Linked DNA regions of Neurospora crassa OR74A. The main gene of each other region encodes a partner of the protein of the gene in region 2 in a complex. Links are inferred from orthologs where the notes say so. Each region holds a gene or a part of one and is shown on either strand. Other genes may lie near its edges.

The links.
Region 1: NCU00635 (region 2) and NCU03148 share a complex: the UniProt entries of both Saccharomyces cerevisiae proteins name them as parts of the nascent polypeptide-associated complex. The link is inferred for Neurospora crassa OR74A from reciprocal best matches to the Saccharomyces cerevisiae genes EGD2 and EGD1.

The regions. Positions count from the first base shown.
Region 1 is NC_026501.1:4,724,710-4,728,485, reverse strand, and holds NCU03148 (nascent polypeptide-associated complex beta subunit), read right to left. Parts: upstream 2,161-3,776; 5' UTR 2,048-2,160; coding exon 1,992-2,047; intron 1,681-1,991; coding exon 1,508-1,680; intron 1,317-1,507; coding exon 1,087-1,316; 3' UTR 615-1,086; downstream 1-614. Other genes in the region: NCU03149 (tRNA-specific adenosine deaminase, variant), read left to right, coding at 1-450; NCU03147 (assembly factor cbp-4), read right to left, coding at 2,972-3,111, 3,312-3,496, 3,602-3,654. UniProt on the Saccharomyces cerevisiae protein: Component of the nascent polypeptide-associated complex (NAC), a dynamic component of the ribosomal exit tunnel, protecting the emerging polypeptides from interaction with other cytoplasmic proteins to ensure appropriate nascent protein targeting.
Region 2 is NC_026501.1:7,743,841-7,747,330, forward strand, and holds NCU00635 (nascent polypeptide-associated complex subunit alpha), read right to left. Parts: upstream 2,089-3,490; 5' UTR 1,921-2,088; intron 1,743-1,920; 5' UTR 1,735-1,742; coding exon 1,495-1,734; intron 1,347-1,494; coding exon 1,288-1,346; intron 1,213-1,287; coding exon 909-1,212; 3' UTR 577-908; downstream 1-576. Other genes in the region: NCU00634 (60S ribosomal protein L14), read right to left, coding at 3,198-3,490. UniProt on the Saccharomyces cerevisiae protein: Component of the nascent polypeptide-associated complex (NAC), a dynamic component of the ribosomal exit tunnel, protecting the emerging polypeptides from interaction with other cytoplasmic proteins to ensure appropriate nascent protein targeting.

The DNA.
Region 1 (3,776 bases), about 3.0 Mb from region 2:
ATGGAGTTTGCATTTTCTAGGAGGGCTATACTCCCTCCAAATAATTCCTCCTCTAAAGATATGACGGACATGGCAGACGTCAAGGACACAAAGCCAAAGAAGCTCATAGCTAGCAACCTTGCGACATCATGGACGCTCAACGGCCCGCGCGATGGGGAGGGTTTGGTGGGTGGCGTGTTGCAGGGCCGGAAGCAGTTTGATTTACGGGGAGCGAGTCTGGTCTCTCGGCGGAAGATGTGGACTTTGGCGAGGGAGGTTTGTTCGATGATGGCGCTCAACGACGATGGCGAGATCAAGCGAGTCCTGGGAAGTACGAACCTTGTGTATGATGAGATCAAGGATGGAAGTAGCTTGCTTGAGGGGAGACGGAGGGCAAAGGAGGAGACGAAAAGGGTGGCGTTGAAAGGGTGGGTAAGGAATACTAGGGGTGGAAGCTTTAAACTTGAGTAAATCAAAGGAGTGTTGAGGAACGATTCAGAGAAGGATTGCTGGGAGATATGTGGTCACTATACAAAGCGTGAATGAGTGACATTTCACTTGCGCACTTGAATGCACAGCATGTCTCGTCTCCACATCATCTTTGTCTCGTTGTCATATGGGTCACGATTCCTGATTCGTACTTCTCTCCAATGTTGGTTCGAGAGGCCAAGAAGCTTTTTCCATTTTCCAGCGCTTGGTCAGTTGTTTGGTTTTGGTTATGTACATCGTTTTGATGTAGAATGCGTTGTTCCTATAACCATCATTTCAACCGCAGTCTTTCTCTGGAAGAGTCCAGGAGCAAACCGAGATGGACGAAGACAATTAAACACGTCTTTCCGCCTCGTTGCCACATGTACCAAGTAACATCCTTTCTCTTTGAGCTGGAAGATGACATCAACATTGCCGCCCGAAGAGCATTTCCCAGCTTCACATAGATTCATAAGCCATCATGAGAAGACATTGAACAACTAAAGGACGGGTTGAAGAGACCCCGTGATTTCCCCAACGCAGCACGCCATGATAAATGTCACCGCAAATCTGAAGATAGGAAAGACCGCGTTTTGGGGGAATCAAACAGAGAGAGGGAGTATTTTATTTTTTTGTAATTTACTCGACCTTGCTCTCGAAGTTCTCGCCGGCAACGAGATCGGGGATATCATCCTCCTCAGCGTCCTTCTCGTTCTTCTGCATGTTCTGGTAGCTCTCGGCAAGCTTGCGGAGGGAAGCGAGAGAGTCGGGGCCGAGCTGGTTAAGGATACCGGGGACGAGCTCAGTGAGCTCCTTGTCCTCACCGTTGCCGTAGATGGCGAAAGTGTTGGCAGGGACAGCGGCGTGAACTGTGGTACAAGAAACACAACTTGTTAGCAGACAAGCCCCCAACCAACGTTTGAAGCTTAGCTGTCGCGATATGTCAAGAGGCCGCCTGACTAAGTAGGCCATAACACTCTTGCATACTGGCGATTTTGGACCAAGCCCAGTCAAGGGGGGTCCATATCGCGAAATTGAAACTGGGCGTATTGGTACGTACCCTTAGGGGCGGCGAAGTGGATGACGTTGCCGTCGCTCTTGAACATGTTCACCTCCTCGATGGCCTGGATGGGCTGAACATTGACCTTCTTGAGGGTGGCCTGGAGCTTCTTGTCATCGCCAGCGGAGCGGGCAGGCGCTCTCTTGACCTTTCTGCGGGGAGTACCCTTGCCACTATTTCATTTCGAAAAAAAAGTCCATTGTCAGAAATCAAAAGCCTCTCATTTTGTCTGCATCTGCACGTTGCTCATCGCCTTTCGCTGGGCTCGCGGGGGGAGGTTTTTTGTGTGGGAGACAATCGAGGGCGCGCGCGCGAAAGAATGGAGGGGTAATTCGGTGCTGGCTCGTTTTTTTGTGCGTGTTGTGTGCGAGAGCGATTGACGAGTGATATTTGAATTTCTACATACCCTAAAGCGGAGGGAAAGCACCTTTGTTAGCCTGTCGAACAGAACCTCATCCTACAGAGCGAAAACATGGGCGACGACATACCGATACGGGCCGAGGCGCCCAGCTTCTTCAAACGCTCCTGAACATCCGACATTTTTGCTGGCGGTTTGTTTGGTGATGAGAGGATGTGAGATTGATCTGTTGTGGGGAAAAAGCGAAAGGTGCGGGAGATCTCGGTGAACCTTAGAGCTCAGGGTTAGTTTGGCGCTGGGACCTCATCAAGGACCTGTGGGCGGTAGTGTGGGCTCTGGGCTTTGCGGGCTGGGGGGTTCATGCTGCTGGCTGAGAAGAGGGGTGATGTGTGAGCGTCGCGCGGCGGTGCTGGATGGGCAGTTGGCCCGTGCATACTTAAAATCTTGTCCTTCAAGAAACTTTCCACATACCTACACCCCCGCCGCCATGTTAAGCTTATACGGCATGGTTCGAAACGGTTAGGTAAACAACCCTACTACAGTCACCGGGAGTTACCTTTAATCTATATAGTGTTGATATTGAGCTTCATCCTCATCTGCTTTCGGAAGTTGAGGAATAGGTCTTGTACGCCGGGCCTCGTATGTCCAGCTAGCGGAACCACATCAAAATTCTACCCCACCTGCTTTGGTGCTCACCTTGACTTGTTTCCTGCTTACCGCGAAAGTAAACTCGCCTCACCTTGGGACTTGACATCATCGTCTGTTATGAGGTCCCTCATAGGATGATATCTGCCAACGTAGTTGTACATGGGACAGCTCGCTTCACTACATAGTTTAGGTTGGATGATGGTCCTATACCCTCCATTTCTGAAAAGCGAAGCAGCAAACAGTCTTTCCAGAGAACATCGTGATATTGCACAACTTCGAGACCATGGGACTTTGGAACCAAAAGCTAATCATCTCCGTCCTAAAAACCCAAGACCCTTTTGAACGCCTTCTCTTTCAATACCCATCTTAGAATACACAGTAGTTTTGTACAGAATCATGATGTTACAACCCAAACCGCCTACGTATGACCACTTCCCAACGTAAAGCTAGCCTAACCACTACTTCTCAAGCGGAAGACCGGCCTCACGCCTCATAGCCTCTTTCCTAGCCTTCACCTCATCCGCCAATGCCAGACTCTTCTGCACCGACGCCCGCTGCTGTCTCTCTTTTTCCTCGGCCTCGGCCTGAACCGTCCAGACTAGAAAAGTCAAAGTTAGCACGCTACTCATCTCACTTATCTCCATCTTCATCTTGCTTTGCCCATTCCCATCCCTCTTTCTTCCTATCCACATCCGCAAACAAATCCCCACCTCTATCCATCTCCTCCTCCATCCCAACAAAAACTCCAACAGAATTGCCAACAGACGGACAAAAAGGGACAGAGGGAAGAAAGCTTACTTGGCTTATCAGACTTGGAGTACTCCTTCAACTTGGTGACAAAGTCGTCAAACTCCTGCTGACGCTCGAACCGCCTCTCCAGACTCCTCTTCTGCAGCTCCGGGTTATACTTTTGGAAGAGCTCCTCGTCTGTCGGGGTGAGCCAGTAGGTGAATGCAGGACCGCCGACGCAGATTGCTGCTCCACTGTTTGTTTGGGCCAACAAGAGTTTGTTAGATCTCTCTTCTTCTTGAATTTGGACTTGTGAGATGTAAGAGGAGGTGGGGGATGGAAGAGAATAAAATCCTTACCCGAGCAACATCTTGGTCCAGAGCCACCAGTTGACTGGCTTTTTGGCGGCCATTCTTGCAGTGATCTTTTTGAGTGCTTGATGAGGTGCTTTGATGCCAAGACCCGAGATAACTGCAGCTTCTCCTGCTGCTAATTAGTGAGCAGGGAGAGTTTGTGATGAGATTTGCGTTTGGT
Region 2 (3,490 bases):
TTGAAGCAGGCCTATGCGGGCGATCGCGAAGCCGTCACGTGACTCTACCCCAGTGGGATGATCGGGTCGCGACTCACGGCGAAGATGTTCTTTACAACTTTTGCGCCAAGCCAGAAAATTGAGCATTTGTCAAGTGAATGGAAGCTATAACAGTTCGTCTGGTGGCCCAGTTGAATTTCTCGCTGAACAAACGGCACTGACGCTCTGGAGCTGACGTTTCCGTGCGCATTCAGTGTGTTCATACTCACGGAAGGTACCGGAATGCCCAAGCTCGTCCTAGACAGAATAGTTGAGATCTTCGATATTATACCCTGGTTATACTCTTACTACGCATCCAAGCGTCTTCATTACACCTCGGGTCTTAGGTTCTAGGCAACTCTTGGATAGAAGTATTTGAATGGGACTCTACTTTGAATTGTTGTAATCCCTATCACAGTCTTGCAACGGCCTTATTTTTAGAGGAAGAATCTTGGCGAGCGGTAGCGGACTGGTTTACCTAACCCGTTTGTTGGTCTCATCTATTTTGTCTCGGATGAGGGGAGGTACCGGATGGAATGCCTCAAGTGAAAGCACACCACGTTGCAAACTCTTCACAACAAAATCCGTGAAGTCTCATCAGGAGGAGATCAAATCTGCACATATGAAGATGAAGCTCTTCCAATTTCCCGTGGAGCTTAAACTACGACCGAATGGACCATGATACCTTTTATATCCACGGCTGTCAAGAAGGTAGGGACAGAAGGTGGCCTAATGATATGAATACATGTCGAACTCAACAATTCGCTAAGCCGTCGAGGATGAGAAGCTTCGCAGTCAATGGTACTAAGACACGATAGAAGCCGTATGGCGGCGGGGTTGGTGGGCCAAGAGGTATATTTTAACGTCAATCAAGGGCTCCTAACGACAACTCAGATGCTCAACGCCATGATGGAGTTGACGATATCGTTGTCGTTCTCTTTGAGAGCCTTGATGGCCTTCTTGCGGGAGACGTTGGCCTGGGTCATGACAAGCTCGATGTCCTTGTCCTCAATACCCTCGGCGTCGACCTCCTCACCCTCATCCTCCTCTTCCTCCTCCTTGGCCTTGCCAGCCTCCTCGTGCTCGTGGGTGTGGCCGGCGTGGTCGTGCTCAGCGGACTGGCTGGCGAGCTGCTGGGCAGCGGCGGCCTGGGCAGAGGCGTTGAGGTCCTCAATCTTAGCCTCACCGAAGACGCTGTCCCAAGGGTTAGTCTTTGAACCGGCGAGGTGACCGGAGAGGTACCGCGACGAAGCGGACGGGCAAGCTCACATGTAGGTGTTGCTGTTGGGAGACTTGTAAACCTCAGGGTTGTTAATGACGAAGAGAATCTGGTCGTCTCTGTTAGCTATAGTAGTTCCCCACCAGAAAGGGAGCTCCAAGCTTCCGCCTTGAAACACAAAGCTGTCCAATCGCGGGGCTGTCCACGACGGCAGGAGTGCTGTGCCAGCAGTCGCTCTTCCAATGTTCCCAACTCACGTTCTTGGGGCGGCGGAGGGTGACGCGGGTGATGCCGGGCACGCGCTGGAGGTGCAGCTTCTCAATGGCCTTGCGAGCCTTCTTCTCGTTGCGGGAGTGGATTACGGCCTGGGAGCCAGCGGGAAGGCTGGAGTCGCCAGCCTCGATATCGGACTCGTCATCGCTGGAGTTGTCGAGATCCTCGACCTGGGTCTTCTTAACCTCCTCCTCGGGGAGCTCCTCAACTCTGGGATCGGCCATTTTGATAGCTAGTTGCGGATTGACTGGTCAGCTCTCTAGCCCCGCACACAATCGCACACACACCACCGCTCAAATGCGTCCTGTTTTGCACTCATTCTGAGCTGCAAAAATGGCAATATCGTGCCGGGGCGACGGGCCCGAGCAAAGGACGGGTACCACGAGTGTGCATCTCCTCGTCGCACTCACATTGTTGAGAAAATACCGCTAAGGTTTGATATGCGGGGTTGTGAAGGGGTCGCAAGGCGTGGTGGGAGAGAAAAAGTTCGGGATCCAAAATTCACCAAAAGTGCGTGCACGCCCCCGGCCCCGGTGTGTGATCGCTCGACCGGGCACAGCAGCCACTGCCCAGCTTGCCCAGGAACCTCCTTTGTCCGATACCCCTCGGTAACCCTAATCATCATGCTAGTTCAATTTCTACCCGACCAGACTGTGGAGCCCCATATGCGTATAGAGAGGGTCTTGATGAACAATGTCCACATTTACCCTCAACGACAATGTACTATGTAGTCCAAGTTGTTCACGTAGAGATTGTTCTGGTTGGTTGGTGATTGCGGATTGTAACTGACTTCTGCTTAAGCATTATTTTGTTCTTCAAGGTTGCGCTATGCTAAAAAATGGCCGATGTTGGAGATTTCTGCTCTGGATCTACCGGGCGTAACTCGCCCTCTTGATTTGTCTTGGCAGGGGCCATCACCAGTGAGGTCATCTTCAAGATGTACTCATAGCGTCGTGTGTTGTATAAGTCCGAACTACTCACGATGCCGAACAATCTTCACCAGCAGCTTCACAGAAGTTTCCCAATGGTAAAAAGTTCATAAAGTAATTCGAAACGTCTGTTGTTGACCATGGCAAGCCATGATTACCCTCTAGCAAACTTGACATGGGATCGAGTGCTATTATGTCAAGTCCCATATCTTTATGTGGATGTCAGAACGTCAACATACAGCTTCACGTGCGGATAGCGTGCCACAACCCACAGCCAGCCGAACAGGAACCAACCGTGACCAAGAAGTTGTTGTATCCCTTGTCTGTCCATTCCATCCACCTCTGCTGCCACAAGTCGCCCGTCCCAACCGCGCCAGACGCGTAGTCAAACCATACCATCACTTCACACCAAATCCGAAGTCACCGGGGCGCAATGGTCACAATCTGGTCTTCCCTGTCCGGAGCTCGGATATGTTCATCACAGCTTGCTTTGATTGATTCCAGCTCCTCAGATAAACCCAAGAAATGGTGGTTTTTAGGGGGTATAGACCTTGGGGTCATTTTTGGCTTAATTCGCATTTTCCCTATGACGCCGCAAGCCACCCTGATGATGTGACAAAAGAGGTCTTCCGAATGCGACGCAGAGAGGTATCCCAGCAACCCTGATGCTGATGTTGTTCATGCAGACCGTTTCGAAAAACCCTCCACCCAAGAACCATGCCGACCAAACGCTCCCAAATCTAATCATCCCAAATCAATTAAGCAGAGGCCTTGATCTTGGCGAGAGCCTTGCGCTCCTCGAAGCGGCGCTGCTTCTTGAGGCGCATAACCTTGAAGCGGTCGAAGTCGGTGAGGGCCTTGCGGCGCTCCTGCTGGAGCTGCTTCTTGGCCCAGTTGCTCTCCTTCCACTTGGCATCGATGCCAGCGGCCTCCCAGGCCTTCTTGACGGCACCAGTGCGGGCACCACGGGGAAGCTTCTCGACGACGAGGGGGGTGAGAAGGGTTCTGGAGAGGGAAACGACGCCGCGGGGGGCAGCGAGCTTGGGGTCGG